Notamacropus eugenii: one gene and its partners. The protein of the gene in region 2 interacts with the protein of the main gene of each other region in a pairwise test. Links are inferred from orthologs where the notes say so. Each region holds a gene or a part of one and is shown on either strand. Other genes may lie near its edges. The genes, in order: IGFN1, MEOX2, CSF2 and RPL15.

Evidence for each region.
Region 1: the proteins of MEOX2 (region 2) and IGFN1 interact in binary tests that used the Homo sapiens proteins (3 or more experiments, as listed by UniProt). The two-hybrid records come from large-scale screens. The link is inferred for Notamacropus eugenii from reciprocal best matches to the Homo sapiens genes MEOX2 and IGFN1.
Region 3: the proteins of MEOX2 (region 2) and CSF2 interact in binary tests that used the Homo sapiens proteins (3 or more experiments, as listed by UniProt). The two-hybrid records come from large-scale screens. The link is inferred for Notamacropus eugenii from reciprocal best matches to the Homo sapiens genes MEOX2 and CSF2.
Region 4: the proteins of MEOX2 (region 2) and RPL15 interact in binary tests that used the Homo sapiens proteins (3 or more experiments, as listed by UniProt). The two-hybrid records come from large-scale screens. The link is inferred for Notamacropus eugenii from reciprocal best matches to the Homo sapiens genes MEOX2 and RPL15.

Annotation. Positions count from the first base shown.
Region 1 is NC_092873.1:439,459,225-439,466,381, reverse strand, and holds the start of IGFN1 (immunoglobulin-like and fibronectin type III domain-containing protein 1), read left to right. Parts: upstream 1-4,137; coding exon 4,138-4,241; intron 4,242-4,324; coding exon 4,325-4,905; exon of another isoform or gene 4,906-5,093; intron 5,094-7,157. Other genes in the region: proton-transporting V-type ATPase complex assembly regulator TMEM9, read right to left, coding at 1,677-1,768, 4,047-4,139.
Region 2 is NC_092874.1:8,791,191-8,798,467, forward strand, and holds the start of MEOX2 (homeobox protein MOX-2), read right to left. Parts: upstream 3,006-7,277; 5' UTR 2,577-3,005; coding exon 2,033-2,576; intron 1-2,032. UniProt on the Homo sapiens protein: Mesodermal transcription factor that plays a key role in somitogenesis and somitogenesis and limb muscle differentiation. Required during limb development for normal appendicular muscle formation and for the normal regulation of myogenic genes.
Region 3 is NC_092872.1:344,048,830-344,056,364, forward strand, and holds the start of CSF2 (granulocyte-macrophage colony-stimulating factor), read left to right. Parts: upstream 1-4,521; 5' UTR 4,522-4,702; coding exon 4,703-4,855; intron 4,856-4,956; coding exon 4,957-4,998; intron 4,999-7,008; coding exon 7,009-7,137; intron 7,138-7,535. UniProt on the Homo sapiens protein: Cytokine that stimulates the growth and differentiation of hematopoietic precursor cells from various lineages, including granulocytes, macrophages, eosinophils and erythrocytes.
Region 4 is NC_092874.1:30,595,586-30,603,333, forward strand, and holds the start of RPL15 (large ribosomal subunit protein eL15), read right to left. Parts: upstream 3,009-7,748; coding exon 2,837-3,008; intron 2,432-2,836; coding exon 2,295-2,431; intron 1-2,294.

The DNA of each region.
Region 1 (7,157 bases), on a different chromosome or scaffold from region 2:
AAAAAAGCCCCTTTTCCTAGATCCTCCCAATTTTGACTACTGAGGGGAAGAGAAGGAAATAAGACAGAGCCTTGTGAATGGTCCCAGCGAGAGATAACAAGTCTTGGCTTCTGCAGTGCTGGGGAGGCAAGTCTGTACCCAGAGGTGTGGAATGCTAACATCTGATCCAGTGCTCAGAGGAAGAAGGAGCGGTGGTTTGGACAGCTTTGTGTGTGGCCAAGGCAGAGCGAGACACTTCATCAAGCCATGGCCACAATAGCTAATCAGGGAGGGACCTCCTCCTAGAGCTTACATTTTTTGGCTTTGATGGAATCTGCCAGGAACAGGAAGAAACTAGCAAATGGAAAAGGATCTCGGACCATCAGGAGACCTGAGTTCTAGTCCTACTGTTAATTTGTCACAATCTATTTGAGGCTCAGTGATGCTGTTCCAAGAGGAAATATGGCCTAGTGGATAAATTATGTGCTGGGCTTGGAGTCGGGAAGACTTGGGTTATTAGTTGTATGACTTTGGGTAAGTCACTTAGTATCTGTAAGCCTCAGTTTCCTCATATGTAAAATGAGGTATAAAAATAACTATAATACCTACCCACAGAGTTGTTATGAAGTTCAAATGACATAATGTATGTAACATACCTTGCAAATCTTAAAATGCTTTGCAAATGACAGTTGTTATTGTCCATAGAGGATTCAAAGCTGGAAGGAGTATTAAAGATCCTTGAGGCCTACCATCTCCTTACAGATAAAGGAACAGAGGCCCGGAGAAATGAACAGATCTGCTCATGGAGTGACAGAGTAAGGATCTGAACCCAGAACTTCTGACTTCTAGTGTTTTTTCAACTACGCTAACCAGCTTTGACAGTTTGTGAGCTTATAAGTATCAAAAGGAATAATGCAAATGAAAATGCTTTGAAAAAAAGTCAAAGAATTGTCCTATTTTCTTCCCTTCACCCTCCCCCTATCTCAGAGAATACTCTGCTCCCCCAACTTTCCCAATCTCAGTCTAAATGTAGCACCACAGACTTAAATTTAATAACCGGCCATTTGCCAAACAGCAGCTAGGGGGTAAGGCAGACAGAGTGTTGGGCCTAAAATCAGGAAAACTCATCTTTCTGAGTTCAAATCTGGCCTCAGATACTTACTAGCTGTGTGACCCTGGGCAAGTCCCTTAACCCTGACTGCCTCAGTTTCCTCATCTATAAAAATGAGCTGGAGAAAGAAATGTGGCAAACCACTCTAATATCTCTGCCAAGAAAAGTCCAAATAGGGTCATGGAGAGTTGGACACAGCTGAAATGATTCAACAACAACGAAATCACCAAACCACTTCTTTTGGGAGACAGGGAACCCAGGCCCCATTTTTGATGATAGAGTGACTCAATAGAGCTTACTTCCTCAATCTCTCCAAGAAATAGCTGTTTCCCCAGAGATCTATGAAAAAACAGTTTCCAAAAGATCTACAATTAATCTTCGACCCTAGATGTGGCTGATGAGTGGCAGAGTTACAATCTAACTCAGAGGCCATCTAATGCAACCCATAGTTAAACAGCAATGTCCTCTAAGCATTCCTGGCAAGTAGTGGCCTCGGCTCCATCTGAAGCCCTAAAGGACAGGCACACTGATGAATTCCTGAGGAAGCCCCTGTGAGGAATGATGACTGAACTGAGTAGTGCCTTACCAGTCTTTCTGTGACACATTCTGGTTGTAAATGTGTCCACTGATGTTACGATACGGTGGGCAGATACATTTGCACCGGATGTCTTCGGAGCTCTGGAAGAGAACAGGAAACGAAGATCAGGTTGGGAGGCAGGGCACCAACTCCTAGCAAAAGCCCCTGCCTTGTGACTCCCCTATCAAGCCTTGTTAAGCACTTCCTGTGTCTCAGACACTGTGTTAACAGCTTTAGAATGATCTCATTCAAGCCACAACTACTCTGGCAGTTGGGTATTATTATCCTCATTTTAGAGTTGAGGAAAATGAGGCAGACAGAGGTAAATAACTTGTCCAGGGTTATACAGTTAGTAAAGGTCTGAGGCTAATTTGAACTCAGATTTTTCCTATTCTGCTCTATTCTCACCATCTACCTGCCTAACAAGCATTTATTAAGTGCTGACTATGTGCCAGGAACTGGGGAAATAAAGGGAAAAACCAAGGTCTTCTTAGCAAAGCTTTCTCTCTGACTCAGAATTAAGGCTGCACTTTTCTTTAATACTCATCAAATTTGATTTTGCATCTTCATCTTTCCTGGACCTAGACTCAGCTAGCAACAGCCTCCTGTCCTGAAAGAAAGCTGCAGGCTTGAGCACTGGAACAGAGCAAGACACTTAGAGCCTAATCTTGGCTCTGCCACTACATAGCTGTGTCCCTGAGAAAATCCCTTAACTTCTCCAGGTCTTAGTTTCCATATCTGTAAAATGAAGAAACTAGACAATCTCTAAAGTCCTTTCCTGCCTAAGATATGTGGTTCTAAGTGGGACAGCTAAGCGGTGCAGCAGATAGAGCAAGGGCCTTCAGTCAGAAAGACCTGAGTTCAAATCCAACCTCAGATATTTACTAGCTATGTGATCCTGGGCAAGTCACTTGACTCTGTTTGCCTCAGTTTCCTCATCTGTATAATGAGTTGGAGAAGGAAATGACAAATCACTCCAGTATCTCTGCCAAGAAAACCCTCAATAGGGTCACAAAAAGTCAGACACCACTGAACAGCAATAGGGGTTGCCTTTCTCTAGGGGTCTGGAGAAAGAATGCCTAGGTCTGTGAACTCTGGAGTGGAGTGGAGTGGAGGTATGATAATTTCACAATGAGGTAAACTGAGGCAAAGCCACAGAAAGGATGCTTGCCCCTTGACACATCTCTATCCTGGTCTTCATAACAACAACAGTAAAAAACAAGACTGACTTTTTCACAGCACTTTAAAGTTTGTAAGCACTTGACATTATCTCATCTGAGCATCTGAGGATTCTGAGGAACAAGTACTACAGGTCTCCACCTCCCAATTTTATGATAAAGAAAGCAAAAGTTAGAGTTAAGTAATCCATAGCAGTCAGAGACAGCATTCCAACCCAGGTCTTTCTGACTTCTTGTATGTCCTCTAATCTAATCACTCAACAAGCCATTTATTCAGTACCTCCTTTGTGCCAGGAATTGTGTTAGGTGATCACTGGGAATGATTAAAAGTACAATAAATTAAACAATGTCATTGAGTCTTTTTAGACTCTTCATGACCCCATTGAGGTCATTTTACTTCCAGATGAGGAAACTGAGGCAAACAGAGTTAGGTGCCTTGCCCAGGGTCACTCAGCTGCTGTCTGAGGCTGGATTTGAACTAGGAAAGATGAGTCTTCTTGACTCCAGGCAAGACATTTTATCCACAGTGCTACTTATCTGCCCCAAATGACACAATACCTATGCACAAGAATTTACTCTAGAATGGAAATGACAACCAGGATATATATAAGTATATGCAGAATACAAAGGAATAAACACAAAATTAGATACAAGGCAGGGACCAGAGAAAAAAAAAAACTTCTCACACCAGGGATTCTACTATCACTCTACCTCTGTTATAGCTCCCTGAGGGCAACGGCTGTGTCTCATTGAATTATTGCAGCTTCTCCAGCCCCCAGTACATTACCCTGTAAACAGTATGTCCTTGATAAGCATCTATTGAACCGACGACCAAGACAAAAATGTTCATTTATTAACCGAAACACAGGATCAGAGAATTAATATTCCATTTTAAGGTTTATAAAGCATTCTCCTAGCAACAATTCTTTGGGGGCAGGGGGAGAGCAATTTCTCTCATTTTGTAATCTGAGGAAACTGAGGCTATGAGAAGCAGAAGCCAGTGGGATTTAGGGCCGAAATTCAAGTCTTCTGACTCTAAGAGGACCGGACCACGAGACCTGGCGTAGATCTCCCGAATCCCCAAAGTACAGAGGGACTTACAGGTACTTTTAGGGAGGGCCAAGTCTGCGCTAGGTTCTGGCCGCCGCTACGTAAACCAGCAAAGCCAAACCTCCCCATCTGCCCAGACCATAGCGCTCACCTTGCCGGCCTGAGCTGGGGGGATGGCCAGACAGCAGGCCAGCGCCACCAGGGGAAAGAGCTTCATGCTTGTCAAGGCTCGCTGGGTCAGCATGACCAGTCACCTGGAAGAGAGACAAGGAGCTGGGGAAGAGGGAAGTGAAAAGCGGGAAGTGAAGTCGACATTCACGTTTTCCCCCAAGTCCCCAAAGCCCGAGTGACTGCACCCTGCTCGACTCGGCTCGGAGGCAGGACGCCTGGGTTCTTTTCTTAGATAAGTGACCCCTTTCTGGGTCTCAGGTCCCCCCGATCGTCAGAACGGGAGAGAATAATTGCTGGGGGAGGCCCCCGACTCCTATCTCTACGGTGCTTCGAGTTCCTCGGGCAGCGCGGATCCAGGCTGACAGCGCTCCGCCCGGACCCCCGGGCGCACCGCGGCGGCGGCCCCGGTGCCCCTACCCCCCGCTGTGCGCTTCCCGTCCGAGCGCCTGCATCCCTGTGCATCCTGTCCGCATCCCGGTCCCCACTCTCCGCCCCAAGCTGCTCCAGCCTCTGCTCCCCGGCGCAGGCCCGGAGCCCCGGCAACCCTCTCCAGCCCCGTCTGAGGCCAGCTCTAGCAGTCAGAGCCCCCCGCGCCCGGCAGAGACGGGCCGGAGCCGCCCGCACCCCACCCCAGGCCCCGGGGCCCCGAGCCCCCGAGCCCCCGCGCCCCTCCCCCAGCAGTCCTGCGGCGAACCTCCGAACCTCTCCACATCAGCACCGGGCCCAGCACGGCCCCGCCCCACTGCAGCTCCTATTGGCTCTTGGAGGTGCCCTTCTCCCCGACTCAGGCTGTCTCCACGGCAACAAAGACCCGCCTTCTTGGGGGGGGCGTTTGGAAGGTACTGCCAGGGATCGGAGGGCATTTCTTAACCCCAAATGGGCAAGAAAAGGGAGCGTCGCCGAACGAAGGGCAGAAAAACCGAAGTCCAGAACTGGAAAGGTCTATAGAACATCCACAGATTGAGAACTGGAAGGTGCCTGGCGTCACCTTGCCCACCTGAAACTCGAGTCCACCCTCCAGCCTCTCAAGGCACGCGGTCCTCCTGCGTAGAGAAAAGAGTGCAGGATCTCAGGTCTTTGGAGCTCTCTGCGCAGCCTTCGGCAAGTCACCGCCGCGGCAGGTTTGGGGAGAGGTTTGGATGAGAAGGTTTTCTGAGTTCTCCTCCAGCGTTCAGCAGACCTCGGACCCTCTGATCCAAACTGCGCGCTTCCACTGCCGGCGAGATCATCCAGTTTCTGTCAAAATGCTTTCCGATTTTTCCAGCCATTTTTGTCAGAGTCCTTACCCCCAGTAGGGGGTGTCCTTGCATTTTGCAAGAATTAGGCCACTGTGTTTAATTGTTTTTGTTTTTTTGCAGATTAAGTACAGAGAGAATGACTTATCCAGGGTCATTAGACAATAAGTATCAGGGGTGGGATTCCTAACCAGCTCCTGCTGATGTAAGATATAGGAGGCCTTCCACGTTGCCTCTAGAGTTTGAGGAGCTTTAAAACTAACTCTCTTGGCAGGCAGTGTGCCCTGACATCTCTCTGCCCTACTTCCCACCCTACACCCATCTCAGCCCAATTTAGAGGTGTATTAATGCTATTCAGAAGTACGGGGCTACCTGATGGACTTTTAAAAGGTGGCATGCATTCATTCTTTTAAAAAACTACTTATCAAGAGCCTATTGGGGCCTCAGGGTGTGCATCACCTGCTCCGTGACTCCCAATTAGTTTATGATTCAGTAAATTGTGAGCGGCTTGAGGGTAAGAACTGTTTTGAATATCTGTTGCAGTGCTGTTGGCTCCTTGTTTTTGTTTTCAGTGCAAACCCATAATTCATCATTGTAGGGAACTTCTCCAAGGCAGCTCACTGCACTGAGGTCCTACTTATCACTGCCCATGGTTAGAGTCTCTGAGAGGTAAGGGGATGTGCCCCTTGTCACATAGTTAGTATTCAACAATGGTGGAATGTGAAACTGACTTCAAGGACATTTTTCTGTTGGCTATGCTGGATACCTGGCACACAGGAGGTACCTGATAAATGTCTGTTGATTCAATTGAATTCCAAACCTGAAGGCCCAGGCTAGGTTCTACAGGTAGCAGTAGGAAGTACCCTTGTGACCAGCATTACTGCTTTTGAGGTCTCTGTGCCGAGAGAATCAAGTGGCCAGCTAGAGCACTAGGCTCAAACCTCTCCACCCACATCCTCTGCAAATTTTCAAGGCACAGAGATTGGAGCACTAAGTAAAGTGAGCTGGAGAAAGAATGATAAACCACTCCTGTATCTTTGCCAAGAAAACCCCAAATGTGGTCACAGAGTTGGATAAGACTGAAATGACTGAACAACAACAACATATAAATTATTATTAGTCTCCTTTTATAATGTATTTACCTCTAGAGAATATATTTTGTATATCATTCCCTGAAGAATCTTAGAATGTTAGAGCTAAAAGTGGCTATAGATATCTAGTCCAATCCTTTTATTTTATAGGTGGGTTGATACCTTATCACTTTCCTGTGAATCACTTTATTATTTTTGTGAGTATGAATTACTTGAAAAGAGGAAGAAGAAAAAGGAGAAGAAGAAGAGGAAGAGGAGGAGAAGAAGATGAAGAGGAAGAAGAAGGAGAAGAAGAGGAAAAAGAGAAGAGGAAGATGAAGAAGAAAAAAGGAAGAGAAGAAGAAGAGGAGGAGAAGAAGAAGTTCTTCCTATACCTGTCCAAGGGAGTAGCTACTTGGCACAGTGGATAGGGTCTTCCTGACTCTAAACCTGGTACTCTCTCCACTGTGCCACCTAGTTACTCCTACGCATCTAAACCAAAGTATTAAAATACTTGGTAATAAGGTAGCTATTCCTCATATATTCAAAGTTGTCAAGGGAAATATTAAAGATTTTATCTTTATCATATGCCAAATGTAATATATGCTATATATAATGTCCACTGCACATATATGACACCTCATATATACTATAATAATAAGAGTTCTTAATGCGAGTTCCAAGAACTTGTTTGTAAAAGAACTTTGATAGCTCTGTTTCACTAAAATCAATATTAAAGCTTTGTAATCCCATGCATTTGAGTTAGGCATTTAAAAACATTATTCA
Region 2 (7,277 bases):
ATATGTGACCTAAAATGTCTTTCACTTACAGCGATATAAAATATTGTGTTCATAAGAGACTTTTACAAATTCTATAATGTCTGGACTTTGAAGGTGCCTGCCTTCTCCCCATGTCCAAGGAAATAGGTATAACAGTAGGTTTGATTAATATTATTATTTGTCACCATTTTAAGAACATTACACCTGATTTGTCCAGTCCACCAATAATGTATGAGAAAATGGATTTTTTTTCTTCTTGGATAAAGAAGCCCTGATGTGGGAAGGCTATGTTCACTCCTAACACTCAAAAGAAGGGGCTAGATTGTGAAGTTGTGACAGGATGATTTACATCTGCCTCACAGCCTCCTTGAAAAAGTCTCCTTCAAGCCTAATGCTGAAGAACATTCGGATCCCACATAAAACACTTTAAGCCCAAGATCTCAAGTCACTTTGACTTTACTATAGTTTTGGTAATTTTTTTAAAGCTGATAACCCATAAAATGAGGGGGGTGGGATACATTTACCAAATGATTGTTTAAAAAAAAACAAAAACATCATGGCAGTCCTTAGATTCAAGAAGAAAATAAGGTGCCTAGGCTTGCTACCGGAAATACTCCAAGAATGCCTTACCCAAAGATCGCTTACTAGTTTTCTCGCTGGCTCTGGTGCTGTGAATTCAGCGGTGAATCTTTACAAAGAGTTAGAGATACTTCGCCTTGCCCTTTTCCTGTCTGACAGATCAGATTTCCAAATCTCTTTGCTACGGCTTCCCCATCGGAGCAACCTTGAGTGCCTCAGGCTTGGATTTGTTTTTTGTTTTTTGTTTTGTTTTGTTTTGTTTTGTTTTCCTGAACCCTGGGTAAATCGGCATGTGGCAACACTCTCAGCTTTTGGACAAGACCCCCTCTGTTTGTCTTCTGGGTTCTCACCACTTGGGAAACAACTTTCCCTGTTGCGGATACGAGAATTTCGTGCTCCAGAAAGCACCCCCTTAATAGCGACCAATATTAAGAAACATTTTTCCCCCAATACACGATTAGTTAACTGGGCAACTACTTTTTGGAAATCCACAAAGGGCGTCCTTTACATATAGACTCAAGTGCAAACTTCAGACTTTGGAAATTGCCCCTTACTCCCCAATTCTCAGGGATCCCCACTTTTTCACTTTAGGAATCTTGGATTATTTAAAATATTCTTTATTCAGAATAAAGGATATATGTTTGTTTTTTTTCTCATGAACTTTGCCAGGTTCTACTGCAAAGGTTCCAAAGATTGCACAAGAATTTGGAAATCCAGTTAAGTATAGGAAAAGGGGGAGGAAGGGCTGGCTGGTGACTGCCGAGTGAGTCCGAGGCAGCCCCACTAAGGGCCCGGCACCAGCAAAAGCGAAACAGAGACTCTGTTCCACAAATCTCCCTTTTTAGCCTAGAGAAAATGCTAACTGAGCAACTGAGAGTAGGCGCTGTCACGTGCTCTCGAGTTTCCCCTAAGCCCCAGATGCCAGCAGAGTCCCTGCCTCAGTCTACGTAGCCAAGGGTACTGCAGCGAGCGTCTCCACATAATCCTAGATAGCGGGAAAGGCTCGAGGAGTTCTGACCATGGCCTCGCGAAGTTGAGAGAAGTTCCATTATACTCATTGGCTGCAAGTCTACCGCGCTTTCAACACTCAATAAATACGTCACACGTTCTTGTGTGTATGTGACTGTTCGTCTATGCATCTGTGACTGTCTCTGCGTATGTCCTGTCCTCCTGTGTGTGTCAGAGAACCTGCCTGTCAGTGCCCAGACACCTGAGCGTGTATGGGTCTGCGCATCAGTCTCTATAGCTAGTCACTTGTATGTCTCTGAATGCGTCCGTCAGGGTACTCTTCTGTCTGTTGGTACCTGTGTGCTAGTCTCTGTGTGATTTGTGTGTGTGTGTATGCGCGCGCGCGCTGAGCCTCTCCCTCTGGAAATGAGCCCAGTTGCCCACGCTGGCGGTGCCGGTCCACTAGGCAGCTGGCCTAGCCCACTCCCAGCGAGGAATCGCCCTGAGCCCCCCGACGGCTCCTTACCTGAACTGTCACTCTTCCTCTTACCCGCCCTCTTCTCCGCGTCCCCGGGTGACAGCGCCTGGCGCCCGTAGTCCCCTGGCGCGCACGCCGCTCCCGTGGGCGTGCTGGCCCCCAAGCTGCCGGACGAGGCGCACAAACCCTGGGCACTGCCGCCCAGCTCCGGGCCTCCGCCGGCGTCTGGTTGTAGGCACAGGCTGTGGCGGGCGGCGGCGGGCGGCGAAGCCAGGGGCGGGAGGTGCCAGCTTCCCTGCAAAGCCTGATGCTGAGGCGGAGGTGGCGGTGGTGGAGGCGGCGGGGGTGCCTGGGGGTGATGGTGGTGGTGATGGTGGTGGTGGTGGTGGCCGCGCGGGTGGTGCTGGCTGGCGAACATGCCCTCCTCGTTGGCGTAGCCAGTGATTATGCACGACGAGGCGGAGGGCGAGAGCTCTGGGTAGGACATGTGGTCCGAGCGGCCGTGGAGGGCCAGGGATGACTGCGAGAAAGGGTGCAGGCCCTGCGCTGTGCCGTGCGGACTGCGCAGGCAGCCGAAGAGCGGGTGCTCCATAGCATGCGAGGCGCGGCTGCTGCCCGGCGGCGGGAGCTTGCGGACGGACGCCTCCACCTCCGCTGTCCTGGGTAAACCAGCAATGTGCTCAGAGCCGCAGCCTCCGGTCCGGCCTCGGGCTGTCCCGCTTGGCCCCGGCCTGCCCGGCTGCGACGGGACAAGAGAACTCTGGAGGGCTGAGTCCGGCGGTGCGTCTGTCGGACCGGCCGGCCGCCGGCTGCGCCAGCCCCGGGAAGAAGCAAGAGAAAGAGAGGGAAGGAGGAGGAATCCTCCCGCTGCGCTGCTGCTTTCGGACGCTCGGATGTCAAGGGGAGGAGGGGGAGGAGGACGAGAAGGAGGAGGGGGACGAGGAGGAGGAGGAAGAGGAGGAGAAAGGTGGAAGCCAAGAGAAGGTGGTCCCAGAGAATGCTGCCTGCCTGCGAGGGGGAAACGGCTCCGGGAGGTTATAAATAGAGTGTAATGTGAGCTGGGGGCTGGCTTAGGAACCCCGCGCTGACCACATGCGGACTCCCTCCCAAACTGCCGCTCCGCTCCCCGCCGGCTCCGCCGCCGCCGCCCAGCCTGGGTTCCTCGAGCCTCCTCTGTCCACCTCCCCCAGCCCGGGTAGCTCCTGGGTGGCACACCTAGCTGGGCCCCCAGGGAAAGGGGGGGGACTGTAGTTTTGATAGACGGCCCCAGGGGAGCGCCCCTATACATACATTCATATACACATGCAAACACTCACATATATTCGCACACACATACACCCACACTTACACACCCACACACAGGCGCACACCCATTCTCACGCCCACCCGCTCTCGGATCCTGAGCGTACGAGCCCACGAAAAACTGGTGCAAAGTTCCACTTTGTTCTTTCCGGGGAAATTTTGTTTCTGCTTATTTGTTACTTTGTTGGAAACATTGTTGCTATTCATGCACATCTGCATGCACATCTGCAAATAGGCGCCGCTGGGAGAAGCTGTGTAGCTGCGCTAGGGTAGGAGCCGACAACCTGGCAGTGCCCTAGTTCTGCAGGCGGAGCCAGAAGCTGGGGCAGATGCTGCTCCCCGGAGGGGTCGCGGGAACCGTGCCATACTCTCCTTTTTCTGGGGTCAGAGGGGCGTATAGTTGATGGGTCACAGAGTAGCAGCCCTGTCTGAAGTTGCGGGGTTGACTGGACTTCTGGCGGAAATAGACTCCTATCTCAAGGGGAAAAGAGGCTGAGGAACCGGGTGGGAGAGGGAGGAAGTGAACCTTAGGCGGAGTCAGCCTGATCCCAAACCACCAGCAACCTCACCTGCAGTCCCACACCGGGCTGAGACAAACAGCCCTTTGTGCGAAGGTCTTTTTTTGATCCGTTTGCCTGAATTCTCTAGAAGAATCAGAAATCAACTAGTCCTCAGTGCAGAGATGTGTTTATAGTATCCCCAGACTCAGCTCAATGCCTCAGGAGAGGTTTCTCCCTTTTTATCCCACCCTACTCTGAAGAAAACTCACAAACCTTCAAACTCGGGTTTGGTATATGGAGAACGCCGAGACTCCACTCCCTCGGCTCCCCAAGGAGGGATTGGGGAGGGGGGGGGGCGGTTGGCCGCTCCTTCTCGGGAGCTGAGGATACAGATGTTTTCTACCTGACCAATTTTTATTTTTCATTTTCCAAGTTGCAAGAAACTCAGAGGTCGTCTGGTCCATTCAGCCTTAGAAACTTACCTTTGCGGGAAGTTGGATGGGAATTTTCTTCTAGTGTGTGTGCGTGGGGTGGGGTGGGGGGAGGGAGGCAAATAACCCATGAACACACCCTAGACACTTCTCTGATCTACCACCACCACTTCTGGGTGCTAACCTCCCCTTTAAGGACTGAGACAGGGCAATGGATTCATAAAGGTCACAGACTGGGTGGGAAGAGTCTGTAGAAGTATGTCAGACCCTAATCCGAGCTGTAAATACTCTTCCCTATCTGGGCTCCTTCCCAAGATCTGAGCCTGACGGCAGTCTCAGGAAAGAACGTGAGGGCCTCAGTATTCTCGTTGTCTCAAGTGTCCCTCCCGAATAGTGATGGACCCAGAATCTTTGAAGAGGAAAGAAGAGACACTACGATAGAGCGGACATGCGGCTTTTGTTAGGAATACTCTCTACCATCCACTCAGGGGGTTCCCTAAACTTCACTGAAGCCCGACTTGTTCCATCCCTGTACTCCCTCACTCCTGTTTACGCCCCTTTTACCTTTTAATCCCTGGGACAATTTGTGGGCTGCCGATGGCCACACAACCTCAGAACCATGTGAAAGATAAAATTATTATCCTTGGCTGGGGTGGGGGGGGGGGGGGGACCAGGAATTCTACGATTTGTGAGAGCTGTTTTCTTAAACGGAAATTGAGCCCTATTCTGAGGGAAATTAGTTTTGCAGACTTTGGTTTAAAAAAAAAAAACCGAAAACTTTTGTCCACCAGCTGCCTGCCTGCCTGCCCTGCTCTTTAGGGCAGTGTTGGTGAGAACAGGGAGCTGTAGACGGCCAGGGACCAACGGTAAGCCAGACGGGCCCTGACTGATCTGAGGGAGACCCTTCCTCGTGATGAGGCCCTCTACTCTCCCAAAAGCATGGCAAGGGTGGAGGGGTACCTACTACTCCCTTCTGAGGGGAGAGGGGACTATGGGCTGGGCCCAGCGTATGAAGGAAAGGGAGGGGGCGGTTCGGTTACCATCGGGGTGGAATATTTGTCTGATTTCTCCGTGTGTTTATGGTTTCAATATGGGCTCTGATATTAAACCTTAAAGTACAAAGGAAAACAAGCTCACCAGGACTCTGAGCTTGGTTAGCCCTAGCTAGCCTGTGGGCAAAGGCAGGGGGGTGGGGAGGAATTAAGAAGGTGGTCAAGAGAAAGCTTGGCACCCCAATCCCCGCGCGGCACCAAGAACATTGGGAAATCGCGACTTCCCACTTGGTACTCTTCAATCCCAGGGAGACTGAATCGGATCCGCACCGGTTGAGAGCTGTGTTGAGCTCTGGGAGCGCTGAGAAGAAAGAGACTAGCTCGTATGCCCCAGGGTTCAAACCAGAGAGTTCTCATGCTGGAGAGTTAGGTCCTCCTAGAACAACTGTATTTCAGGTAAACCTAGTCAATTAGCACCAAGAGACGCCTGCTTGACTAATTTCTCCTCTCGACTGTCCTAGTACTGAGCTGACTTCTCTTCTGTCGGTCTCCTGGATCAGGTGTTAATGGATGGCCTATGATAGGGTCCTGAAATTCTCAACCAACCTGCCCCTGTCAATCAGTCGTTAGAAGCAGCTGGCGAAGAGGCTGGAAAGGGAGGGAGGGAGGGAGGGAGAGAGAGAGAGAGAGAGAGAGAGAGAGAGAGAGAGAGAGAGAGAGAGAGAGAGAGAGAGAGAGAGAGAGAGAGAGAGAGAGACAGAGACACAGAGAGACAGAGAGAGAGAGAGACAGACAGAGAGAGAGAGAGAGAGAGAGAGAGAGAGAGAGAGAGAGAGAGAGAGAGAGAGAGAGAGAGAGAGAGAGAGAGAATCAAAGGAGCGAGACACTCTCCCAGTCCAAAGCTTAAGGTGAAGGTGTGGGGAACTCGAGAGATATTCAGGACCACCTCTCCACGCGTAAGTTAGCTTTCTAGGAAGGCTAGAAGGCTCTTACAGGAGAAATGCACGCAGGTCCTTTTCCACAAGTTACAGGAAACTGAACTTGAAATGAATTTCATCGTTTCCTGGAGAAAATACTAAATATAAATACAGATGTGCATATGCGCGCATATATACACATAAATAGGAGCATGATTTTTTTAATGTCACTTTTAAAAATTGATCATGTTTGGAAGTAAAATCTTTTGATTTTTGGTTATCTCGTAATTTCCCCATTCGGAGAAATCTTTCTTTGTGGGTCTTATATAGTATGCATGTATGTATGCATGTATGTAAATACAATCAAGAGTAAGGGAGAAAGAAGAGACGCACAGCCGTACTTTCTATTTTCCCTCTCTCCATCAGTTACAGAAAGCAAAGCAGAATGATAAAATTCCACTCGAATGGCTAAGGTATCCCTTTCAGTGTCTGAGAGCTGTGTGAAGTTCCCGATCACTTCTATTAATTTTGAAATGATAGGATGCTTGATTTATTTATTTATTTTTTGGCTCCCATGTTGTGACTGTTTCTGCAAAGTCACGCTACGGAGACTGGCATAAATATGGGCATGGAAATTGTAAGTTTTCTGTAAATATTAATTGAAAAGAAAAAATAAAAATCTCTGAGCCTCAGTTTCCTCGTCTGTAGGATAGCGGTAACGCTGGCATTTCCTGCCAAAAAGGAAAGTGCTTCGTAAGCTTGGGAAAAGAAAGCTGTGGTAAGGATTGCTGCAGCAATCGAAGCTTTTTAATGCACTCAGTTCCCTTTGTTTCTGCACTTCCCTGACAAAATCACAAAAGGAGATCACAGGCCAACAACTTTATTTATTTATTTAACAAAGCTCGGAGACCATCATCTGGTACGTCACGAGATGCTTTGTTTACATGACGATTTCAAACCGCTGACCTTGTTAGAAAAAGAATCCCAGCGATCTTGAACGTGGGGAAGATTGTTTCTTTAAGTAGCCAAGTGTTGCAGCCTCGCACCCTACATAGGCAGCACCATCACAACCCACCAGATTGAAGTTCTGTGTAATTAAAAAGAAAAGAAAGACTGAAATTGAGTTAGAGAGAGACTAAGAAAGTGTAATG
Region 3 (7,535 bases), on a different chromosome or scaffold from region 2:
GAGATGGAATTTCCTTTTCAAAAAATCCACTGAATCAATCAACAAAAATGAATAGCCAGTCAAGGTATAAACTATTTTTCTACTGACTAATAACAAATGCTATGTTAAATGCATTTAAAGTGAAATGGAATATATTGCTTTGTTTTGAACAATATTTATATATAAACTTTTATAAGGAAAAATATCTCTTCAGATGTCACTTTTCTCCTCTTTACCACTGAAACACCAGTCGTACTCTCACAGAACCTCTACTAAACAAATGAGCAGTGTTGCCCACCAGTTCATTTGAAAATCTACCAGATAGAAGATTAGCAAAATAAGAGGAAAGTAAATTTATATCAGAAAATAGCCTTAATTTTGCAAAGAGAGGAAATAAAAGGTTTCAAGACGGCTTGTTATGTGTATAACCAGTGTTCATGTTTTTTTTAAAATAGCCTGATCTTTATGTCTCAAGAGCCCAAACATTCATAACATCTTGATCATGTTTTTACATAGCTGATGAGGTTATCATTATTGTGTAACAGAGGGGAATGCCCTGTACAGAACGGAAATGATGAGTTGCTCATATGTTTGACCATCCATTGGGAATCAGTTTGCACTTAAATATTGAAACCTTGCAGTGGTTTGGAAACAATTTGGTGACAGGTGAAGAAACTTTAAGAACATGTTGAACTTACCCAGAAGTAATCAGAGTTTCATGTAATCACTGCACAGACATCAAAATTGTTGTGCTTCTGATCATGACAGTTTTGATTGCTTCCAGAAATAAACATATAATTCTTCAAATGTGCACATGCTTATTGTCATAGAGGAAAACTATATTTGTGACATAATCGTATAATTATTTACTGATTAATATGCCATTAAAATTTTATATACACATATACATATACATGCAGAAAGATGGACAGACAGACAGACAGATAGAGAGAGAGAGAGAGACAGACAGACAGACAGACAGACAGACAGACAGACAGACAGATAGATAGATAGATAGATAGATAGATAGATAGACAGACAGACAATCAGAAAAACAAAATACATCAATATGTCTAGAACTTGCAATTTCACTGGTGTGGGAACTCCTTTTGCTAAAACAGATGGTGGTTCATCTAGTATTGTAGTCTTTGGGAATTGCCTGAGGCTAATAAAAAATAAACAGCATAAACAAAAATAGCAAAATCAGATAAAAGTATAGTCAAAAAAGAGATCAGAAGGGAACACAGCACGTTACAGGCTCATACAAACCCCTTCATGTTATAGGTGAAAAAAATGATTCCTAAAGTGGTTCAGTGACTTGATCAAAGTTACACAAGTAACAAATGGAAGAGTTAAAATGTGAACCCAGATCATATGATTCCAAATCCAGAATCTCTGCACTGTTCCATGTTGATTCAGACAACGTTATGGGATTTCTAAAAGTTTGCCTATCATTTTCCTTTTATCAAAATGTAAATAGTTCAGAGTTTATGGCTTTATGGATTATTTTATTCCTCACTTTTTTATTTATTTAATTTTTCAATTTTTGTTTCTGGTTATTAATTTCATAACAAAATTATTATTAAAAAGACTTGTACAAGTTGCCACACTTCAGCAGGAATGTGACCTAATTCTAACTGTTCTCTTTGTAGGATGTGAAGACAATGGATGACTTACAGTTTCACTGGGAAAATTCTGGGCTTTTCACATTACTTAGATTTTCCACTAGATGCACACATTCTGCACGTCATGCGATGGATGCTCTTCCGGTCTGCAGAGGACTCTAATCAACCTCAGCAAATTCCTGCTTTCCGAAAATCCCTTGGAGACTGAATTTCCTACCAAAAAAATGAGGATTCAATGTATATAGACAGTCAGCATCATGTTTTCAGTGACAATTCTCTCAGAAAGATAGATAACAACCCTAGGAGTTCTAATAGTTGGAAAGAAAAGTAAGAGCCAGTTGGAAGAAACTTTGCAAGAGCCCATCCTAAAACAAATTAGGTTTTTTTAATTTTTTACTTTAAGGAGACCATTCAGACCCTTTCACTTCTGACCTATCCTCTAAGATGCTGGGCAAAAGGAGTCATCTCAAACTTTCATTTATATTTCACTAGTAAACGTTCTTTGTTGACTCAGCGATAACAGCAGAGCCATTGGGCGAGTAGTCGACCACTATCTTGATAGCATCAGTCTCATTTTCTGTGGTTATTGCAATCTAAGAATGTTCTCATGTGTCACTGGGACACAGTGAGCAAGTGTCATCTTTCCAATAAGAAAGACCTGCTCATCGCTAACCTCCTCCTGATAGTGGTAGTAGTAGTAGTAGTAGTAGTAGTAGTAGCAGTAGTAGCAGTAGTTGTGTGTGTGTGTGTGTGTGTGTGTGTGTGTGTGTGTGTGTGTGTGTGTGTGTGTGTGTGTGTGTGTGAAGGTGACTTCCAGTCGCCTTCTCTATCTTAAAATCTCTATCCAGATTATGGGTGCTGAAGCCCCTTCAGAAAGACAGGAAATCTGGCTTCCTGGAACTGGTTGCTAGAAGGCCACACCTCACCATTCCCACTTGCCCACCACACAATGAATGCTTTTAGAAATACTTTTCCTGGAAGCTTTGGCCGTGATGAGTTGAAGTTCATGTACTACTCCCCTGCCTTTAGATTCTCAGGCATTTCTGAGGCCACATATCCCATTTCCCCTGCCTCCAGGCAGCTCTACACTGAAAACATTTTCTCCAGGAAAGAGAATGAGATAGGAGAGCAGGAACCCCATGGGAAACAACACAGATGAGTAACCTGTGGGAATTAGTTCACTTTAATCCCTTTGGTGTGAGCCTTACTAGGAATCCAGTCCTTTGTTCTTCCTCTTTTCTCAGTTTTCTGTTTAGAGAGGGCCCCTTTGCTCTCTGTTGGTTCTTTAGAAGGTCCAAATCAAGACTGCAGCCTTAATTAGAAAGATGTTACTATTCATTTAAAGGAGGAACCAACCCATGGGCAGCAAGTCCAAAATTAAACCAAGTCTTTGACCAGCCAGGTCAAAACATACACACACCTACTTCAGAAGCCCTGGGGCTCACTCTTTTGGTCAAGTGGCTGGAAGTAGAGGTCTGTGGAAGCAGGAACTGTTTCTGTAAAGGTATCTGGCATGCTCTGAGTGCTCACCAAGTGTTTAGTTTTCATAATGTCATTTGAGAAATTCTGTGCACGTTTATGTCTGCTTTAAAAGAAACCAGGCTAGTCTGTGCTGCTGATAGCAGTGAATATGGTAGGAGTGAGTAAATATGATCCCAGATTTCCTCATAATCTATCAACAGTCTGGGGTTTAGGCTGGCAAGAGCACAAGGATGAGTATACAGTAGGGATTCAGTAAATTCTCACTCCAAGACTCAGGCAGATCAGTACAATAACTAACCAGAACTCTCAAGCTCCCATGCTTTGTCACAACTTACCTTCTTGCAGGCACTCAGGGGCTTTTGAAAACACAGGCACCTGTAAAGGATGGGATTGGAAGAATTATTACCTCATTCCCCAAACAAAGAAATAGGAGATTGTTTCATAGTCTGTTTCCTTTGCACTGCTCAGGAGGTCACAGTCGAGAAAAGCAATCAGACTCTGGTTCTGTAGACTCCCAGGATGGCCAGAGTTGGAGAGCTGGGGCCAAGAAATGCAGTCCTATTAGCTGTTACTTGGAAAGAATCTCAAATATACATAAGGACTGAATTGTTATTGCTCTGTAATCTTAGTAGTGTCTGATTCCTTGTGACCCTATTTGGGGTTTCCTTGGAGAAGATGCTGGAGTGGTTGGTCATTTCCTTCTCCAGCTCATTTTACAGATGAGGAAGCTGGGGCAAACAGGGTTAAGTGACTTGCCCAGGTTCACACAGTATCTGAGAGCAGATTTGAACCCAGGAAGAAGAGTTTTCCTGACTCCAGAACCAGCACTTTATTGACACTGCACCACCTGGTTGATAAAACTGTAATGCTAACATACGCACACATGTGTGCACACACATGTGTTTACATGTGGTTTTCCTGGCATAATGAAAGTTCTTTGAAGGCAGAGACAGGTTAATGTCTTTGTATCCCCAGTATGTAGTACAGGATAGGTGCTTAATAAATGTTTGTTGAATGATTAATTCTCTGATACTATCATTAATCTCAAGAATTCCAGGGCAGGGAATAGAAAGATTTCTAGATATAGAACTAAATTGGGGTTCAAATATCAACTCTTCTAATTATGTGTGCTTAGGGAAATCCCTTCCCTTCTTTAAATCTCAGTTTTCTCATCTGTAAAATGGAAAAAAAAAAAAAAAGATCTTTTAAGGACTTTTCCAGTTCTAGATACCAAACTGATAGTTCATTCAGACTTTGGAAATCACCCTGAGCCAAGCAGGCAGGTGTAGTAGCCAAGCCTCTGTAGCCTGGGGCCACTTCTCCCTAGGGCCTGGCAATCTCTCTATCAGACTGGTTTTGTCAGGGGCTTCTAGTTATTGAAAGCGATCTCTCAATAAAATTCCCAAATGTAATACTGGTGTGTAAATGGGTGTTTGAGGATCTCATGGGTAACAGTGATGTGATAAGAAGCCGGAGATTCCATCCCTCAGGTAGTTTCCCCTGCCTCCTTCGGTTTGTTTGTGGTCAACATTAATCATTTCCTCTAACTGCATATAAGAGCTTCTCAGCCCCTGATCAGCCCAGTTCAGAGCTGAAGCTTGAAACGAAAAACTACAATGCAAAAGTTCTTCCACCTTCTGCTCTTCTCTGCTTTGATCCCTTCTGCCAGCTTGGCGCCCACCACCCCAAAGTCAAGGGAACCTGACCTGGAGACTCTCATTGCTCAAACTCTGGAATTATCACGTAATATCACTACAGAGCCAGGAAAGGTAAGTGACTCACAGGTGACTTGGCTTCAACCTTTGCTCTGCAGAAGTTAATCTGCCCGTTTCTTCAAATGTGAGCTAATCATCTGCTTTCTCTTCTTCAGGATAGAGAGGTGAAGATTGTTTCAGAGGAATTCAACAGGCAGGTAAGATGCACTCCGCTACACCTATCTATACATCTGCCTTTCTAAAGGAAATTATTTAAAGGATTCTTGTCCCAGCCCTCTGCAGTCAGATCAGTTACCATTTAAGATAAGATGTAGCAGGCAGCTAGTGTGTAGCTGGCTTGTAACTTACATGACTCACCAGCATTAGTATTTCTGTTTATTTGAAGGGTTTTGAACACTATACCTTCCTTCTTCCCCTGCTCCCTCCTTTGCTACTGCCCCAAGGGGGATTATTAGAGCCAAAAGTTAAGTGCCAAAACCAGAAACTATTTTATGTGCCAGCGACCCTAGGTCTCTACTACAGCTTGATTACTCTCAGTCATAGTTTCTCAGATATCACAGTCAAAGAGGACAAATGACAGCAGGGGAAGGAGGAACCAGACAGTGGCTCCCACAGTCTCCTGAAAGAGTCCGTGTTTCTCAAGACCAACAATCTCTGAGCTCCTCCTTCAGTCTCCTAGCATAGGTCCTTGTTAACACAGGGTCCCCTCTCCTAGAAAAATGAGCATTGGTTTTGGAACCAGAAATCCAATTGGCTTTGTTATTGGGCAAGTCTGCTTGGTGTCTCACTTTTCTTAGTCATAAAATAGTTTCTTTTGCAAATAATAATAGTCCCCAGTGGGATAGTACTTAAAATTTCATAGAGCATTTGCCAAATAATCCTGTGAGATGGAAAGTGTAGATATTATTATCCCTGTTTATAGGTGAGGAAACTGAGGTTCACAGAGGATAAGTGACTTGCTCAGGATCATATAGCTATGATACATCAGAGCTGAGGGTAGAATAGGGATATTGTAAGGATTAGATGAGATCATTGCTGAATAGAACTTTGTGTACTATTTAATGCCTCATTAAGCTATCATTCTTATGCTGAGGTTAGAACTTGGGGGACAGAACTCCTAATTTTCCATCTCAGAGTCTTTTCCCCCAGGTCCCAGAGATATCGAACTATAGTTAGCTGGCAGCTCACAACAGAAAACTGAGTTATAAAAGGCAGTGGGATGTAGCAGCTAAAGCATTGAATTAGAGTCAGAAAAACCTGGATTTGAATCCTTCCTCAGATAATTACTAGCTATGTGACCTTGGGTTAGTCATTTAATATCTCTTGGCACCAGTTTCCTCATCTATAAAATGAGAAATGACCTCTAAGGTCTTATTCTACCCTAAATCTATGAATGCTCCTCTAACAATGAGTAGCCAGGAAAATCACATTAATTCCAGGTGATTGTTCTATGCTTTTTCCATGCTTGGGTTATGCTGCGGCATCATATCCTTGAGCATCAAGGGCGGCAGCTCACATCAGTTCTGTGGGCACACATATTTGACTAGACCGCTGACTGTGGGAGAAAAAAGCATGGTTGGCATAATGACTGGATAGGTGTGATATCCAGAACATGGGAGCAGCTAGGCAATGATCTCTGTTGGGTCTCATGAACAACATGCACTTACCATCTCCTTCCCAGAATCTCCTAGAATAATCTGGGATGTGGGCAAACCTGGTGAGAACATGGGAACTTTCTAAATGCTTTGGAGAATTCAGTACTACTATTGAAAACAAGTTAATGTGCAGAAAGTGTCAGAGAAGAACAAGTCATTGTAGAGTGTGCTGTGGTGGTCTCAGACTTTGACAATTTATATGTCTCACTTTGTAATACAAAGAACACAGGATGTGAAGTAAGATTTTAGATCAAATCAGGATCTGCTACTTTAATCTCATGTGACCCTAGGCAAGTTAATTAATTGGTTTCCATTTTCTTATCTGTAAAATGAAGGGGTGTGAATAGTTGTGAAAGGTCTCCTCCAACTCTAAGTCCTATGATCTTAGAAGCTCTACTGCTACAGGAATCCCTCATGCTATAATTGGAAAGAACTCAGCCCCAACCTCTGTGGATCTGTTGTAGTGACAAAACATAACAATTTTAGCTTGGAGTTGGGCTACGATCCCATTGACTCAGACACACTTACTCAACAAACTGACTTTTCTTTCAGGAGCCCAAATGCATACAGACACATATAAAGACTTTTTCTGATGGTTTACATGCAAGTGATCAAGCAATCAAGAAAAACCTAGAGGAGATTGCTACCCGCTTCAATGCATCTTCATGTCCCTCACTCGATGTAAGTTTTCTCTGTTACAGAATGTTCTCTGTTTTAATGATGTGATGTGGAAATGGTCAGGTTTGCTTTTCATTGCTACCAAATCCTTGTATAGACCAGGAAAGATCACATTTGAGAGCAGGTTAAAGCAACAAGGAGATATGTATCTATGTAGAAACACACATTTTAAGTATATACATGCATTGTATAAATAATTTACACAATATATACGTTTCTATAATTATACTTTTGCATATTTCAAGTATAAACACCCATATATGTGTATGTATGTTTTAAGAACAAATTATTTCCATGGTGTATGTATATATTAAAATATGTAACAGCAGAGTATATTGAAAGTTAGACTTAAAATCAGGAAAATCTAGATTCAGAACCTACCTCTGACACTAGCTGTGTGA
Region 4 (7,748 bases), about 22 Mb from region 2:
TGCAAAATACCAAAGGAGGAGAGTAAGCACCATCCAATGTGCTTATTAGATATGCCATATCTCATTTGATCCTCACAGCAGCTCTGGGAAGTAGCTATTATGATTTCCATTTGAGAGCTGAGGAAACTGAGGCAGGGGAAAATTAAATGACTTACCCAGGGTCACAGAGATAGGAAATGTCTGAAGTCAGATTTGAACTCTGATTTTCCTGACTCCAGGCCCAGAGTTCTATATCCTCTATCCCCTACCTGTTTCTAGGTTCCCAGGCTAGAAAACTGGCTTCAAATTACCAAATGCCTCTGGGATTGTTTAGAACATGTCAATGATGATTTGGTTTGAACTTGGTTCCTAACACTTAGGGGTATGACCCTGGGTCACCTTAATCTTATTTTCTTGCCATCAGCCCTACTCCCTCCCCATTTCAGGTGGGGGAAATTTAATCAACACTACCATTGCTAGGGAAAAGAGTGTGTTGACTCTACCTGCTTCTCCTTTTTCTGGCCCAGATTCCCTCTAAACTTATTTTCAATCTAAGTTCCTTGAGGGCAGGACTGACCTGTTGTGTCATCTCCAAGGCTTAGAACAAAATTCGGTTCAAAATAATTAACAGATGCATAAAGGACTTAGGGTCTGCTGAGTGCAGTTCATAAACTCACAAAACCAGATCCTGTAGGAAAAATTAGTGAAGCTACTGAATGTGTATGGTGAGGGTGGGTTTTACAGTAATTGAAGAAAAAAAATTAATGGTTTTCCACCTTTACATATAACAAAATGAATATAGACCTACAACAAATGCCTGCTGTTAATACATCCAACTCTACCCAATTGAAAACAAAAAAAATTTTTTGAGTATAATCTGTTTTTAACTCTTAGTAATTAAACTACAATCAATAAATACATACTAAATGCCTACAGAACAACAGTCTGCCTCTGCCCTCAAGTTTACCATCTAAGGGGATAAGGGTATGGTTAGAATTAAGCTCTTTTGGTCATTACAGCTTTTCAAAGTACCACCAAAATAATGCCTAAGGTTTCTGCAGTCCAATTAGTTCTGTTTTTGCAAAGTTCTGTTCAAGTATCAAATTAAGAGCCATTATATTTACTGAGTTCCCACTCCTGAGCTTATGTGTGTGTGTGTTCGTCCTTTGTTGCCAACGAAGACCATGCCATCAGAGAAACAATGACATGACTTGCACTTGATTTTGTTTGGAGTGAGGGAGGGCTGTGCAGGTCACCAGCCTCACTTCTCCACAGCCATCTGAATCCAGTGACCAGATATTCATCAGGATAACTGGAGATGACCCAGAAGGAGGCAATTTGGGTTAAGTGACTTGCCCAAGGTCACACAGCTAGTGAGTGTCAAGTGTCTGAGGTGAGATTTGAACTCAGGTCCTCCTGACTCCTGCACTGGTTCTCTATCCACTGCACCACCTGGCTGCCCCCCTGATCTTATGAATAAATTATAAATGTGCCTTTAACTGTTTAGGTTCCACTCACCCCATCATGCATTAACAATCCTTCCAATTAGTCAGATTGATGTTAAAGTTTAACATGAATAACAATTTATCTCTTCTCAACAGTCAATAAACACTATTAAGCATCTCCTATGTACTTTCCATGTGCTAAGCACTAGGGATACAAAGAAAGGCAAAAAACAAACAAAAAAACAAAACTCCACAAAAACCCAACCCCCTAAAACTGTTGTTGGTCTCAAGCTCAGTCCAATGAGAGGGACAAACTATGCACAAGATATATATAAGATAAATTGAAAATCAACAGAAGGAAAACACTAGGTACACACCTTTTCTCAGGAAAATCTAAGGGTTTCTCAACCTTTTCTGTGACATGTTTAACACTTTTAGCAGTCTGGAGAAGTCTATGGATGACTTCTCAGAATGTTTTATCGTCTACATTTCTAATGGAAGGAAATGCTAATTTTAAGCAAAGGTCACTGAAAATAAAGATTTAATTTTCTCCCTCATCCAATTCACTACCCCTAATTAAGCACCTTTGACCCAACCAGCCACACCCATATATTATCCTTCAGTACCCAAATTCTATGTCATTTCTTTCGAAAGATATTTTAATGGCAATTTTAGTTCTGAGCTTGCCCAATAAAAAAGCAAGTGACAACCTCTGAGACTCAGAGTAAGTTCAGGGTCGCACAGCTCATGCCAGGGCTTAGACAGACCCAAGCCTAGGTGCTCTGCCTCACTTGAACAGGATTATTCCATCACACCACACTGTTTCTCATCTCTAAAAGCACCATTTTAAAAAGAGAAAACAAATCTTACTTCTGCCACAGACTGAAGGCTCCTGGCAAACTTCAGCTGATTGACACCATGATGCACAGGTTTACCATAGGTCGCACCCTTGGGAACTGGGCGCTTTCGCCCACCACGGCGGACACGAATTCGGTAGATGACGTAACCTAAAACGAACACAAGTTTTTTCTGTCTACAAGCTTTAGCTATCAAATACAACTGTCCGTAACCCCCCCCCCCAAATAGAGACGTGGATGCTTCAAACTCACGAGTCAATTATATTACACGTCAGACCCCAAACTATCCCCAAAGCTCTCCTCTGAGCGCAGAATCCCTGAGCTTGTACAGGGCTTTCCTGCGGGCTGCGCAGGCAGACAACACACAATCATGCCCAGGAAGTCAAGTGCCCGAAGCTCCACGTGCGGCCTGCGGGCCGAGGCTGCATTAGGACACAGCAGGGGTTCTCCTGCTTCTAGTGGGAAGTGCCCCTAACCCAGGACCAGGAAGGAAAATAAGCCTAACGAAATACGGAGCCCGCCCCGCCCCGCGCCCCTCCTGCGCTCGCCCCGCACCTTGCTTGGCCTTGTAGCCCAGCCTGCGGGCCTTGTCGGGTCGCGTGGGCCGCGGCGCGCGGTGCAGCGCAGACAGCTGGCGGTACTGCCAGCAGCGCACGCGCAGTAGGAACCGCATGACATCCGACTGCTTCTTCCTCCACAGCTCCTGGATGTACTTGTAGGCCCCCATCCTGGCTCACGCCTAGCCTGCAAGAGAGCGCGCCCGCCTCATAACCGCGTCCCCGGAAGACTCGCCGGCCGCAGGGCCCAGTCTGCCGGGCCCGGGCCGGCGGCCCTGGCTGAGGGCTGGGAGTCGGCGGCCAGCCGCGTCACCTCCCTGACTCTGGTCCAGTCTGCCCTCCGCTTCGAACCCGGGGCGTCCTCTCCCCGCTCCCGCTGTCCCGGGCCCCGACCAGAGCCCGCATCGCGCGGCACACGGGCCAAGGCCCCCGGGCGCATGGGGCCCGGGCTCGGATGGCCCAAGCAAAGGGCAGATTACGGGCGGATGGTCCCAACGACACACACAATCCCTACCTGCCTGATGGCTGCCGCCGACCGGAAAGGAAGAGTCTGCCTTCCCACAATGCTTTATGGCCTCTTCCTCACCACAGAACCCCTTTCCGGCTCAGGCACTGCGCGGGCGCACGGCCTTATGGGAATCGTAGTCCTTCCGGCGGGTATCCTGGCGGCCTCGGAGGGGGCGGGACGGAGGCTCGGCCTACACGAAGGGGAGGAGCCGGGAATGGCAGTGCCTGCCGCGCACGCTTCTCTTCCAGGGGGGCGTCCTGCACCGCCCATGCTCTGCCGTTCCCTGGGTGGTTGCAGGATGCTCGGCGCCGCTCCGGACGGCCAGCCAGGAGCCTGACCTAAGGATCGCTCTGGGGCGGGGGAGGGGCAGGCGAACACGGACTGCGCTGGCGAGAGGGTGCGAGGGCGCGTGCGCAGCTTCCCCGGCTCGGCTCTTCTCTCGGCAGGTAACGCAGGGAGCTGAGCGTGCTTCCCTCGGCCTGTAGAAGGGGTGGGAAGACGACGTTTCTCCCTTGTTGGGGCAGGGTGAGCCCCGTTTCTTCCGCCCCACCCCCAAGCTCCTCTCGGGAGGATCGGGTAACGGGGTACAGGTGGGGGGAGGGGGTGAATTTGGTGCGAAGACCTCTGACAGTCGTGACCCTGCCGGGCCACCGTCTCTCGCTCCCTCCCGTCCCCCTCTGCCCCCCACCGCCGGAAGGGCTCTCCCAGCATCTCCCTCCCCGCGGGCCAGGGGCTGGGGGCGGGGCGCTCCTCACCCCTCCGGTGGACCGGGGGATCTGCTCGTGGGGCTGCCCCCTTCCCCTGCCTAGGAGCGCCCACGGCGCGGGCCTGGCTTCGAGTCCCGCCTCTGCCTCCCGACTCCCCCTGATCTTGGGAGAGTTCAGTTCTTTAGGTCACTGGCTAAAGGAGCGCGGGACCCGGAGTCAGCCGGACCCTCCAGAAGCGCGACCGGGGCATGTCCCTTTGGCCTTTCTGCCTCAGTTTCCTCATCTGTACAATGGGGACCATAAGAGGGCCTCCCCCGCCGGGGGCTGTGAGCATCACGTGAAATAAGGACGGCCGGGGTCGGACGCACGGTCGCCGAAGGATGGACGGCGCTCGGGGTTTCAGCCACAGTCACGCGGGGCCCCGGGGGCTCGGAGCCAGCCCCTTGTGTGGGAGGCGCTGGGGTTCAGGGCAGGGGGACTGCCCGGGGCGGCGCCAGGCTCGCTTCCCACGATCCGTGCACGCACACGCCAGGTATAAAACCTCCCCGCATCCCTCAGGAGCTGGGCTTTTGGGTTGTCAGTCTTGTCTGGCCCCGTTAAACAACCCACGGGACGTGTTTGTGTTTAAAGAAGGGCCGGAACGAGGCGGGCGGGAGAGCGTGGCGGCGGGCCGGAGCCGTCCCGCAGCGTGGGCCTCTGCCCCAGACCTCCCCACCCTCCGAGCCGCAGGACTGCGTGGCGTGGGAGGGCAGAGCCGGGGGGCAGACCGGGAGGCGGAGGGCCGCGGACTCCGAGGCCTCAGCCAGCTCTGGAGCCCGTGGTTCCGTGAAGATGAGGCCCATTGGAGGCTTTTTAGAATTTAAAGGTTTTAAAGTTTCGTGTTAGAGGGCTATGTTAAATGTGGAGTCCTTAAGAATGATGCCAGCCTAGTGAGCGTGGCTTCCGCAGTTAGAGTACCGGAGATGAGTGCTTGGCGTGATCGCCTTGTGCGATCCAGAGCGCAGGTCAGTTAGCGTCAGCAGGAGCTCCCGCGTCAGTTTCACCTGATAGATTGTGGACACTGTATCCAACCAAACATGAATGTTTCTGGATACAAAGAATAGAACAAGAAGATTGTGTACGAACTAGGGTCTCTTAGAGTTTGTTCTTTCTAAAGTCTGGTGGACCCAACACAGCCAGGCTTGTCCCTATTCCTTTCTGAGTGTGCTTCTGCCTTTGTTTTTAAAATGTCTCCTTGACTCTTGGTTTTTGCATGACCAGCATTCTCTCTTTATTTCCCCAACCACTCTTCCCCTGGATGCATTACTTTGATGGAGGCCCGTGACTTCCTTCCTCCCCATGGAAAAGTGCAGGGGTGCAGAACCTGCAGCTTCCAGGCCACATGTGGCTTCCTTGGGTTCCAGACCTGGCTCTGCCACTTAGGGTAGAGGATGAGATTTAAAGTTGAGGAAACTGAGGCCCAGCATGGGGATGGCTCACCCAGAGTCAGGAAGTAATTTAAGGAGCAAGAGCCAGAAATCTCAGGATCTTTACACTGCCCAGCAAGTTCCTTCTTCATTGTGCCGCAGCTCTCTCCCTTACTGGGGGCTCCGAATCAGCCATTCAATCCTTGGGAAACTCATCGTATTTTCTAAAAGATGCTGATAACTGTAGTACTTATGCTGCCTTTTCCCCAGTGGTGTTACTGGCATCAAGTTAGGTAATATATGTAAAGCTTTTGCAAACCTTAAAACCTATAAATGCTAAGTATAGCTATTGTAGGTTTTTTTGAGGGGAATGGGGAGGAGGAGAGAATGGGATCGTGGATTCAAACAGAATCAGATCCCTGTAGGCTGTATGTGTGTTCGTTCTTCATTGCCAAAAAAGACTATGCTATCAGAAAAATGACGACATGACTTGCACTTGACTTTGTTTTGAGTAAGGGAGGGCTGTGCAGATCACTAGCCTCACTTCTCCTCCAGAGCCATCTGAATCCAGTGACCAGATATTCATTATCAGGATGACTGGAGATGACCCAGGATGAGGCAATTGGGGTTAAGTGACTTGCCCAAGGTCACACAGCTAGTGAGTGTCAAGTGTCTGAGGTGAGATTTGAACTCAGGTCCTCTTCACTCCTGCACTGGTGCTCTATCCGCTGCACCACCTAGCTGCCGCCTGTGGGCTGTATATTGACTTAGAAAATCACAAGTTAACATTATATTGTATTTTGATTTATTTTGTTAAACATTTCCCAGTGACTTTTAATCCAGTGCTTCTGAATTTGGGAATTCCCAATGAGGAAATTGCTTTTACGACTTGTTAAAATTTTATTTTTCATTTAATAAGTATTTATTTTCTCTCCTTCCCACCCCTAATTAAAAAGAAAAAAAAGAATCATTGCTATATCTATATCTCTGCAGAGTGAGGCACCGTTCCATAGCATCCAAAAATGTATGTGTTTGCTTTCTTTGCTTTTTTTGCTTACTTTTCTCATTTACATTTCTTATGGCATAATATTCCAAGATATTCATATATCTTGATTTTATTACCTAAAGTTTAAAAGGGAAACAGTTAACTGGGGGAAAAAAATCTATGCAGCTAATTTCTCTAAAGATCTCATTTCTGTGATCTATAAGGAATTGATGGAAATGTTTAAGAGTTAGGCCATTTCCCCCAGTGGTCAAATAATATGAACAGGCTGTTCTCCAAGGAATAAATGCACGCTATCAACAGCTGTAGGAAAAAATACTACAAATCAAAGTGTTCTGAGAAGTTAAATTAAAGCAACTCTGAAGTTATACCTTGGCTTATAGCTGTTGTATTGGCAAAGACACAAACAAGGAAAATGACATGTTAGGGAAGATGGAGCAAAGCAAGCACACTGATGCTGTTATTAGACCTTTTTTGTCATTATGCCCAAGAGTCACCTAACCCAAAACCATCCAGAAAAGAGAAAAGGACCCACAAGTACAAAGATATTTCTGTCATTCCTTTTGTAGTGGTGGAGAACTGTGCCAGGGGTGCCCTTTTCTTTTCCCCCAGGGGCAGGAAGGGGCTTCAGTTGGGGTGAAACTCTCAAGGCAGATCTATGTCCATTCCACAGTCGAAGTCTTGGAGACTTTAAGTGATGGCACTGCTGGTAGACCTTGAAGCCAGCTCTGACTTCTAGGCTAAAGTGCCTTATTTATTGTCATGAGCGATCCTTTTGAGCATCTTTTGAGCAACGTAATCCCTCTCAAATACCCAAATTTTAAATAATCAAAATGCATTTGATTGGAAATTGGCTTTTTATAGGCTTTGTAGCTTTCACGCTTTGTAAGCTGCAATTTCTTGTTTCTGCCAACTTTTCCTGTTCTTGCTGTTATACCCATCCATCTGCTGTGGTCTGGAGATCTAAATAACCAAACTAGTTGGAATTGTGTATGCAGCAGGAATCAATAAATCCTGGATACCTCTGCTACAAAGTAAAAGTATATGGGGTTTTTATGATAGTGATTTCAGCTGCTCATTGGCATTTTCTGCTGTTTCCAGATTCAGCTCCCGTTCTAGAGTCTAGACAATTAAGGTTGCCTAATTGGGTGTCTTTCAAACAAGTGAGGTGTTACTCCAAAAAAAGTTTAAACTTGTGGTCTCTATGTCATATTTAATATTTTGAAAGCCTACCTTTTACTGAGGGAATCAAGGAGGAATTTCTTTTAATAGTGAGTTAACTACAC